2 linked regions of the Arabidopsis thaliana genome follow. The protein of the gene in region 1 interacts with the protein of each later gene in a pairwise test. Each region holds a gene or a part of one and is shown on either strand. Other genes may lie near its edges. The genes, in order: HSF1 and LCBK1.

Region 1 (4,302 bases):
CGACGTCGTTCAGCGATATAACACTAAACGACGAGACATCTGAGCTAATTTAGTGAAACCACACGCAGTTTTTCTTTGCAAGCCTTAAACTTTTTCTTTCTTTCTTTCTGATACTGATACTGATAGTATTGAGAGACTGACTAAAAAGAAGAACTAGAATTACAAAGATAAAGTAACTGAAGGAGAAAATCTATTAATCAGCAGGCTCTTCAGGCTTCACAAAGAACTCTATATAAGCAATCCGACTCGGTGGCTGATACCCTGCGGATTCCACTTGTGGAGCTAAAGCTTTAGAAACTGAAACCAAGTGCTGAACTTTCAACATTCCTCCTCTTCCTATTGTTAGTTTGCTTCCCCTGTTTTCTCTCACTACGTTTCCCGGTATGTTTGCCGTTGTTGCTTTCAAAAACTTGTATTTGTACCTACAATCAACAATGAGAAGTTTAGCAAATGTATCTGGCTACTATTCTTGATTGGTAAATCAAGCGTAGGAGCGTGTGTTTTAACCATAAAGCTACGGTAGAGAAAGAATTGAGTTCATTGTTACCCGTAAGAGACTTCGGTATCACAATGAAAGGCAAGGAGAAGATCTGTGTTGGCATAATACATGAAGTCTATCTGCAAAGAGGATAGATCGAAATATGTTCCTTGATTCTTTCACATTAAGATAATATACATCACCAAGAAACAAGTGAGAAACAAGACCTGCAAGTCTCCATGTCCTTCTCCTCTAAAGATTACACAAGGGGGTTCCTTTTGAAGACTGATCTGTACACTTGAACCAGGCCATTCAAGATCATCTATTGCTTCCTTCAACGCCGCTGACTGATAGATACATTATCAATTACCATTTGAGAAAAAGCTCAGACTAACAATGTTAAACGAAAAACGATACTAAACTATGTTACTACCTTTACTGTAAAAGTAAGTGGCGCGATTCCCGCCTGCTCAAAGTTGTAGTCCCAAGTAACAGTTTCGGGAATTCTAGTTCTTATCTCAGAGTAGATGCAAGAGTTTAAGGTATCAACAGATCTAATCAAACACTCACACCAATCAGCTAATTACTCGTAATCCGTATATTCACAAAGCAAAGGATCATAGTACACATACTTGAGAAGAAGCTCCATATCAGGTCCTGGATACTTGATTTCTATAGTATTAGAATGTCCAGGTGATGAAAATGTGTTCAAGCAATCAACAAGAAGCCCTAAGCTGATTCCGAATCTCGGCCTACCTTGAGCTCCATACTCGTATTTCGTGAATAGCTACTCATATAACACATCAAACAGATTTCGGATTCAATCGAATTTTAGGGGTTTAGAAAATTTAAGATAAACTCAGAAATCGATACCTCGCGTTGAAGATAAACTTTGGCTTGAAGACAACCTGATTCTTCAACAATCAAAACTATTCCGTGTTCAGATAATTCTACTAAAGCATCCTGGAAACGGAGAAGTTTTCAGAAAATCAAAGAAGAACCCTAGATTGAATTTGGGGAGGATGGAGATAAAAACCTGGTGGCGTTTCCATCGGACGCAAGTGAGTGCATCGACCATTCCTTGAACATTATCGAGCTGGCAAATCAGGTCCGGTGTGTCTGGTTCAATCGCCGGCGACGAGGACGAACTCATTTCTCTCTCTCTCTCTCACTCTCCTTCCTCTGCTTTCCCGCCAGAAAATGTATGCCGACAATATAGCAATTAAATTGATTATTATTATATTTGTTTTAGCAGGCCCAGTTATTAATAAAGTTGATCTTTTTGGCCCACACACAAACTAAAAAGAAAAATAAAAGCCCATCTTTATGATATCGCGTTTATATCTGAGTCACAGAGAAATAAAAGGGTATGTTTGTAAATTTCAAATACTTCTCTTTCTTTATCCGTACGAAAATGGACGGTGTTACCGGCGGAGGAACGAATATCGGCGAGGCTGTGACGGCGCCACCACCGCGGAATCCGCATCCAGCGACTTTACTTAATGCGAACTCTTTACCGCCCCCTTTCCTTAGCAAGACGTATGACATGGTGGAAGATCCGGCGACGGACGCGATTGTCTCATGGAGTCCGACGAACAATAGCTTCATTGTTTGGGATCCACCGGAGTTTTCTCGTGATCTTCTACCTAAATACTTCAAACACAACAATTTCTCCAGCTTTGTTCGCCAGTTAAACACCTATGTAAGTATAAATTCTCTCGCGCCCTAATTTCTCCACCATTGATTTCTCTAATTGTACTGTGTATAGATTATGATTTCGTTGAATAATCTTAGTGCTTGATGTGTTTGATAAGATTTATATGATTCATGTGCCAATTTTGATGAACAGGGTTTTAGGAAAGTGGATCCAGATCGATGGGAATTTGCTAATGAAGGTTTCTTAAGAGGTCAAAAACATCTATTGAAGAAGATAAGCCGGAGAAAATCTGTTCAGGGACATGGTAGTAGTAGTAGTAATCCACAATCTCAGCAATTATCTCAGGGTCAAGGTTCAATGGCTGCATTATCTTCATGTGTTGAGGTTGGGAAATTTGGGTTAGAGGAAGAAGTTGAACAGCTTAAAAGAGACAAAAACGTGTTGATGCAGGAACTCGTTAAGTTACGCCAGCAGCAACAAACAACAGATAATAAACTTCAGGTTTTGGTTAAACATCTTCAGGTTATGGAGCAGAGGCAACAACAGATTATGTCTTTCCTTGCTAAAGCTGTACAGAATCCTACTTTCCTCTCTCAGTTTATACAGAAGCAGACTGATAGTAATATGCATGTAACCGAGGCCAATAAGAAGCGGAGACTCAGAGAGGATAGTACTGCTGCTACTGAGAGTAATAGTCATAGCCATAGCTTGGAAGCATCAGATGGACAGATAGTTAAGTATCAGCCACTTAGAAACGATTCAATGATGTGGAACATGATGAAAACAGATGATAAGTATCCGTTTCTTGACGGGTTCTCATCTCCAAACCAGGTATCAGGAGTCACTCTTCAAGAGGTACTACCCATAACTTCAGGACAGTCACAGGCATATGCATCTGTACCATCAGGACAGCCTTTATCATACTTACCCTCTACTTCAACTTCTCTCCCGGATACCATAATGCCAGAGACTTCCCAGATACCACAATTGACACGAGAGAGTATCAACGACTTCCCTACAGAAAACTTCATGGATACAGAGAAGAATGTTCCAGAGGCATTCATCTCTCCAAGCCCATTCCTTGATGGTGGTTCAGTCCCGATTCAGCTTGAGGGAATACCCGAAGACCCCGAGATTGATGAACTAATGAGTAACTTTGAATTCCTTGAAGAATATATGCCAGAAAGCCCAGTTTTTGGAGATGCAACTACACTAGAGAACAACAACAACAACAACAACAACAACAACAACAACAACAACAACAACAACAACAACAACACAAATGGTAGACATATGGATAAGCTTATAGAAGAATTGGGTCTTCTCACATCAGAAACAGAACACTAGTAAAGGATTATGTTTAGTATCCATTGTAAAGTCTTTCTCTACTAACATTATCGTTAGGACTCAGTAGTACGGTTGCAACTTTGTGCAGAAATCTTTCCTTGGATAATAGAAGAGTTGTATTTATTATTAAAAAGAAAATGCCATTTTTTCTAATTTATTGTAGAAAGTGACTACTTTGTCCAATCATATTTGTAGTCCTTTTTCGATAAGAAAAACAGAGTTGGAATTTTCCCGGGGAAGCTCTTTTCAATGGAGGTCCTTGCGAGCTCTTCATTATCCCCAATTTCTTTTACTAAGCCTAACAAAATAAACCCTAATTTCTCAATCCAGGTACTTTTCTTTCGTATAGTTGACTCCTTTTTAAGTTTCTCTCCTGCAATTCCCCAATTTGTGTCCGTTTAGCTGTGTAATAGAATTTTCAACCTTTGCAGGTGAAATTGTGGGTAAAACAACCTCCAAAGATTTCAAAAGCTAGCAAATTTAGTTATGCTCGTAGTCGTAGTAACATTTCAAGGAGCAATGCAGCAAACCCAGGAGTCGTGTTCGTCTGTAATAGATTTCTGTGTGTTATCGAAAGAAATGATCAGAGGAAATTATCTGGGAAGGTTATGATGAAATCTTCTGTTAATTTCAGACAGAATCTCTCTGTTGCATTAGTTCGGATCGTTTCTGTTCTGCTTGTCTCTTCCATTTCTGTTGTTACCACTGATTCACCACCATCATGTAAGTTCTGTTTTTTTTACATGTTGAGAAACCATATAAATTTCGGGGAATGCAATTTGATTTCATTTGTGTGGCTTTTTTTCTCTGTCTCTTTAGG
Region 2 (7,303 bases), on another chromosome or scaffold:
TTGCTTTACAATTTTAAAAATTATAAAAATTTTGACCATTGATATATATGTTTATATATATCATTGGATATAAGTTGTATTTTATTTTATTTTTGTTAATAATAAATAATTTTGATCTAAAATACAAATAATTTTCAAAATGTATAGTTGAAGATGGTCAGTCCACCGGATAAGCCACTAAAATTAGATGTGTTATTATTTTGAGTTTTGACTGACCAAATAAAAACGAAAGATTATGGAGTGAAAATCAAATGAAAGAATGCAAATTAACCTCATGGCTCATGCACATGGTTTACTACCGGATCATTAGTGTGATAGTGTCTACTATTTCCAAACGATGGAAATTTTTTATCATTATTAGTTGGAAGAATTGATGCTAAAATATGCATTTACATTTTTTTAATATGTCAAAATCTTCATCTACAAATTTATATGGATGCAATTTAATATGATTTTTTTTCGAATGAAACAAATCAAGAAACGTGTAAATGATAAGCAGACAGAAAAAAAAACATGTGAATGAAATGGATAATAACAAAGGTTTAAACTTTAAGAAGTAAAAAGGAAAGGGAGAAGAAGACCCAGCAATATAAAGAAGTCAGACGTGTGTCCTTTTTCACGGGATGAGGAACGTGCGGCTTCTACTATATTCATCTGTGAGACTCTGATGCTTCAAAGTTCCGAGTCAGACAGAAAGAATCTCTATCAGTTAAATATCTTCGAATAAAATCTTCTTAATCCACAAATAATATCACTTTAGAAGTTCACCTAGTTAACCTAGTCCAAAAACCTCGTTACTTCAAATCATCTATTTCGTTATTGATCGACTAATCCAAACAAAGAAATGGAAACACACAAATCGTTGTAGAAAACACGTACACAGTACATATATAATTCAAAACACACAAAAAAGGGCAAAAGAATATACAAAGGGTTTTAGAGTTATAGGGAAGTTATGGCACAAAAGGATGTACTTGGTATACTCTCTCATGTTTGCTTCTCTTATCACATAGATGGTACTTACCGTAAACTTGACGCCGACAAAAAACAAAAAACAATAAAAATGAATTCCAGATATATAAACATCCAAACTCTCTCACCATCCTCACAATTTAGATGAGATTAATTAACTATGAATGTCGTCCAGGAGCGTTACCGATCAGTCTGCATTGTTCAGGTAGCATTGTCGATATCACTTCTCCATGCAATGCAAACAGTTCCCCGTCTATCCCGCAACTGTCATGCGTATTTTTCCCCGCCTTTATCTTCACTGATTTCACCTGCAATTGTCATGCATTTGATCAACTACATTCTATTCTAGACTTATAATATTTGCATTGAGTTTGACCGTTTGATTAGCATTTCCTAGCACATAGCGAGTTGCAGGTTTCGTAATGTAAGAAAATAGGAAAGATAATTTACCTTTACACACTCAACATACGGAAGAGAAAGGTGTCGACCTGTTTGCAAAAGTATAAAAAACCTCAGTAACCTCAGTCTTCCACACCCATGAACCAAGAGCATATCCATTGTACCATCATCATGTTCTGAATTGGGAGCCACGACTTGGGAACTTTGCACAGTCCGACAAGCATGGTTACAGACCATGATGCCGAGGAAATGTCCCTTTCTCGAAACCCATTTATCCTCAAATATTGGAGTGATGCTCTGTTTCCTCAGTCCTGTCTCTATATCCTCAGGAGGACCAGGCAGCTCGATCGAATTTTCTACATCCCAAGCAGACGGTTCAGTGTCCCATTTGGGTCCTGCATCCCAGATTGGACCTGGATCAGATACAGTAGATGATATATCTTCCCTGTCTTGACCACCGGTATTCCCCCATGAACATCGAGTTGGAGGATCCTGCACGGATGTTAACCCCATCCATCCTTTATCCATTCTTGACTTTGATCTTGTCCTTGGCCAATTAGGGGTTGTTGACTGTGCTTGAGGATGAATAACCTCTGGCTCAGCCGTAACATCTCTTCTTCCAGAGGACAAGCGTTTCATTTTAGGATCTATTCCACGGACATATTCAGACGGCTCAGTGCTGGCATGTGTGCTGCTACAAGTGTCTAATTCGCCTACGCTTGGGGTCATTATGGAGTCAATACTTGATAAACTGGAGGCTCTAGGAAATCCTTCTCTGCTTGATCTCCTCATTACATCCGTGTAGAGATCTTGCATATCCACAGCTTCCTTTTCAAGTCGAATTTTGCCTTCTGCATCCTCTTTTTGTGCCGGAAGATATTCCACTTCATAGCTATACTTCGGCAAACACATGAACTTGAGGAATCCAGCAACAAAGTAACGCAAAGGACCAAACCGTTTTTGGTATTTTTCAGAGAGCTCCAAAACTGCAAATAGATAATGACAAGAAAAACCATGAAATTTAGTTATAGCAGGTGAATGCCACAAACATTATACAGTATTCATGAAGGTAATTATATGTGCAATAATCCTGACGTCAAACACGAGACAGCGTCCAATAGCTCAAACTAATACATCAAACACACACCGGAGCTGTTAAAGAAATGGAGAGAGATTTACAGCCTTTTGCACAAGTTCAATGTATTTGAGTTTATCCATGATACGTTTGAATAACTAGGCGATTTTCTGCTTCTAACTCATCATCAGAAGAGTGCACATTCTGCAATATTCTATGAAATTATGTGTCTTGGGAGTCAGCATAGTGTTCACACTGTGCCAGTTAAAATATTTAGAAGATAAACTGAAAAATTACAGTAAGGAAGATTTAAAAACTCTCCTCTAAAATGCATGAAAGATCTAAACAGTTGCAGACACGGTGAATGAAACAAAGAAGCTAGGAATACAGATTCAAACCTAACTACACTTGAGAAACTGTTTATCATTAGAAAATCATACAAGACAAAGCACACAGGTATCCTCACTTACCATCGCTAACAAAACCATAGTAGGAAACAGTCATTCCAAAGTGTATAATACCGGTATGAATCCATTCAACAGCAAAGACATCAGTAGCTGTTAGGCCACCCTAAACCAAAAAAAAAAAAATCTTTCACTGAGAAAATATTAATTAAGTAGAAGCTAATTAATGTTGGCGGCTGGATAAAACAAAGCAGGGACCAATAGGATTTTAGGCGGGGTTACCTTCACAATAGAGAGTGCTGCAGAAATAGGATCTCTTACACCAAGGACAGTCCAAACTAACGAGTTATCAGAACCAGCAGGTACTATTCCAATTGGGATAGAAACTCCTTCTTTCGGATTGCTTCGAGTAAGCAGACCATTAAGAACCTGAAACATTGAAATAAGGCAGGCCTTGAGATGAGAGTTCATTCCAAGTAAATAGAATCTAGGAGATGTTAACATCGAAAGCAGTCTTTTGAATCCATCTTAGTCTACCTAAAGAGTTCTACATCAATCGAAAAATCAATAGTGAAAGTTCTCATGTGTTTCAACTCGAGCAAGTATTTCCCTATAAGATGCATCCCAAAGTCCTCGCTCTGGAGGATTAGAGTATCTAAACTCTTAAATTATTCAACATGCTTGCAAAGTGGTGTGAGCACGCTGAAATAAGCCAATAAGGTTTCATTTTAATACCAAAATTGGTTCCGAAGTACGTTCAGGCACCAGGGCTTGTAAGCAGATAAGTAACCGGGAGTATGGTATAAAAGGAACATCACTTCATGAACTTAACTCCTAACCAAAATAGGGCGAAAAAATGAGTATAGTTTAGGAAAGGTAATTATCACACCTCATTGATGATTCCATCCCCTCCAACACAAATAATTCCTGGAAGAATTATTAAGAACTCGTAAGTAATAGTAGATATGTAAGATAAAATATATGCATATTAGAAGCTAGATATGTTAAACATATCATTAAGTGTTGGAACAAGTAGAGGTACCGTCAGAGCATAAGTTAATGTCGACAGTGGAAGCCAATTCTCTCGCATGACCTGCTTTAGTTGTTTTGACAACCTCCATCTTAATTCCGGCCAGCTGTGACAGTTCACAAAATCATAAACAAGATTAAAAAAAATGCATAATGGGATTGGAGAAATGGAAATGGTTCTCTAGGGTACCTAAAAGTGGAAATAATGTGATGATGTAGTACTACAACATCCAAAAAGAACAAAAAGATGGGAACGGTACCTTGAAAATTGGTTCCACGACATTATGGAAAACTTTGATAGATCGTCCATGTCCTGACCTAGGGTTCAATATGACAAGCATTTTGGGTGCACTCTTACACCTGAAGACCAACTCAGGAGGGGTATCAATGGGGACCGAAAATAACTCAGACGAAGCCTGTTTCTTTGCGACTAAAGGATGTGGCAAACAGTTGATAAAACATTGTTGATCTCCAAAACTGGCCACCCATTGAACGGCTTCTTCTACTGTAGGTGCGACAAAGCGGAAATCCTTGCGGCTTCTCTTTGGTTTCGTGAAGCAAGACAGGCCACAAGAACCCTTGCCAATTGGATAAGCATGCACAGTGAAATGCCTAAGACCAACATTGTATGTCACCTGGAAAACATAGATAAGTTTGTTGACTCAGTTCTCCAAAACACAGAGTTAATTAGTTCATTGCAAGGCCAACAAAAACCTACCGAGACAACATCGTTAAGCTGTAGCATGTCAGAACCCCAAACCAAAGCGCTGCTTGTAAGCTTTGCATCAACTGCTTTCTTAATAGAGATGTCCGTAGCGGCTGGTTGCTGTATCTCTGTTGCATCTTTTCCACTCGCAGATTTCCTCTTATCCAACACAAGCTTCCCAGCGTAAACAAGACTACCTAACAAATCTGATTTCTCATCCCCTCCACCAATATCGATCCGATGCTCATCAGGCTTCGGTTTCACCTGTGGATCATTAGTAACCTCACCACGTCTCGAAGATGCCTTCACCTTCTTATTTCTCTTTTCAGGGAATACTATAGGAGATGACTGCTGAGATCCACCCGTAGCTATTTGGGAGCAAAAACCTAAACGTCTAAGCGACTGTTGTGCCTGAGGAATGGCTACTTTCAAAGAAGGGTTCCGATTAACACCACTCTTCTGCATATCCGTACACTAACAATCTCTCTGCTCTTGAGTTCCGCGGACGAAACAGACGACAAACAGTGATCGGAAGGCATACACAAAACAAAACCCCTGATGAGCATAAACAGAGAAACCCAATCAAACCTCGTTCGAGCTGGTCAACGAACAGATTTTAGAGAGAATTACACAATTCTAATCCGTAGCTATACATCAGATCCATCAACGCGTTTTCAGGAAGAATTCTCCTGTAACAAAATTCATGTCCATGGATCGATTTATAACCAGCATTTGATGGAAATTCAATCAAAATAAGAACACTATACAACAGATCATGAGGAATCGGAAGCAAATGATAAACGAATCTGAAAACGAAATCGTCGTCAGAGCTTGCTTTTAGCTATTTATTCGTCTTACCTTAGCTTCTCGGCGAACAAAAAGAAGAAATGGAGAGAAGTGTATCAGCAAAAGTAACGCCGCCGGATCGGAGGATCTGAGAAGCGTCAGAATTGAAGAGAGGTGGCGGAGAGAGAGAGAGAGAAGACGATAATGGCGGAGGAGATGATGACTCGACTCAATTTCGATTCGATTTCGATTGGATTCGACTCGACAGCAGAAACCTATGGCCCCCTCCTTTCGGATTTATTTCCACTACAGAACCTTTTTTTGGACTTCTTTTTTCCAAAATTTTAATCTATTTTATTTATGATATTATAGTAGTATTTGTTACTTTAATGGCTATGTTTTAAAATTATTTTGTACTTTATTTTTCGAAATATTTTATTCTTGCAATTGCTTTATTCGCAAGATATTTTTTTTAAAACCCCTCATTTTTAATATAAGTTTTTAGTCCTAACTTTATATTTATATATTTAGTAGGTAAATTTGAATTCTCATAGAATTTTTTTAGTAATTAGATTTGAATTTGTTTCCTTGATTATAAAATGAAACAAAACAATGTTATTAAAATTCAGTAAAAATGTTATTTATATTTCAAAAAACTTAATAAGTAACAAATTTTATTTATCAAAGTATAATATCCATCTAAGATAAATCATATAAACTCTAATTTTGATACATATATATTTTCTGGAAATGTTTTAAAAAATTTCATATATAACAAGGCGATAAATCATAAATCAAAGTTTTCCTAACAATGTCCAAACTATATTGTGTACTTGTTCCTGGTTATATGGTTTTGTGATTGACGATAAAAGTGTGATACAATATCATTGATATGATTTCATGTCTCATCTTCTTCTATTGTTAAATGATTTTTTATATATTTATTTGTTATGAATTGTAGATGACTTGGGAGAGAAGTATATACTATATAAGCTTATTTTCATGATCAGATTAATTAAGCTTTGTAACAAACACTTATGTGTGTAATGAAAGTTTGTTAAGTTTTCGTTATCATCTCTTCTCCGATCATCGGAGTTTAATATGGTATCAGAGCTTTTTCGTTAATTCTTCTTCTATCGTTTTTGTTGGAGACGAGTTCTTTGTTTCATTTGTTATTCCTTTTCCGTTTTGCAATTGGTGATTTGCAATTTTATTTTCTTCTTTTGGTTCATTCTTCTTGTATAGTAAGTTGATCTAGAATGTTATTCGATCAGATCTTAGAGATCCAGCTTCTAGGGAAAAAAAATATGAATGATGTTTTCAAATGGTAGTGGATAGCTTTGGTTATGTTTTAGACATTCTTGTAATCGTGAATTGTTATAATAATGTGAAGTTTTATTGACTTAAAAATGTTACAGTGCATTAATTGCATTCCATTACTCTCGTTAATCGATACAAATTACGTTCATATAATCATTATAAATAGTTTTTTTATTAATTATTTAAACAGTTATTAATTGCATAGGTTAATCCATTTAAACAAATTGGTTGGGTCAACTCATATACTCATTTAGCTATAAACTTATTGGGTAATGAGTTGAGTTGAGTTTTTAACGCTCGTAGTATCATAAACCAAATATATATCTATATTTTAAAAATTTAATTGTTTAAATTTATAATGAGATATTTGATATTATTTTCAATTAGATACAACATCAAACACTATAATTATTTTTTAATCTTTAAATAACAATAAATCATTTTATTTATATTATATATTATATATAGAAAAGAAGGAACATCAAATACGTGGATTTAAATATTTACATAGAAAAACGATGACAATTTTACTTATAATCAAAATTAGAAGAAGTTGTAGATAAATGAAAACATTTTATCAATACGGAGTTGGCCCATTGATAAATCTCACAG

What was found.
Region 2: the proteins of HSF1 (region 1) and LCBK1 interact in a two-hybrid assay, tested with the Arabidopsis thaliana proteins (one study listed by BioGRID).

Annotation. Positions count from the first base shown.
Region 1 is NC_003075.7:9,869,149-9,873,450, reverse strand, and holds HSF1 (heat shock factor 1), read left to right. Parts: upstream 1-1,804; 5' UTR 1,805-1,847; coding exon 1,848-2,180; intron 2,181-2,327; coding exon 2,328-3,482; 3' UTR 3,483-3,633; downstream 3,634-4,302. Other genes in the region: AT4G17760 (PCNA domain-containing protein), read right to left, coding at 194-422, 548-618, 706-825, 912-1,032, 1,111-1,265, 1,352-1,441, 1,515-1,631; AT4G17740 (Peptidase S41 family protein), read left to right, coding at 3,732-3,812, 3,914-4,205, 4,302-4,302. UniProt on the Arabidopsis thaliana protein: Transcriptional activator that specifically binds DNA sequence 5'-AGAAnnTTCT-3' known as heat shock promoter elements (HSE).
Region 2 is NC_003076.8:7,903,911-7,911,213, forward strand, and holds LCBK1 (long-chain base (LCB) kinase 1), read right to left. Parts: upstream 5,676-7,303; 5' UTR 5,444-5,675; intron 5,275-5,443; 5' UTR 5,051-5,274; coding exon 4,598-5,050; intron 4,515-4,597; coding exon 4,140-4,514; intron 3,987-4,139; coding exon 3,893-3,986; intron 3,778-3,892; coding exon 3,740-3,777; intron 3,398-3,739; coding exon 3,353-3,397; intron 3,280-3,352; coding exon 3,133-3,279; intron 3,017-3,132; coding exon 2,917-3,016; intron 2,358-2,916; coding exon 1,423-2,357; intron 1,281-1,422; coding exon 1,131-1,280; 3' UTR 798-1,130; downstream 1-797. UniProt on the Arabidopsis thaliana protein: Involved in the production of sphingolipid metabolites.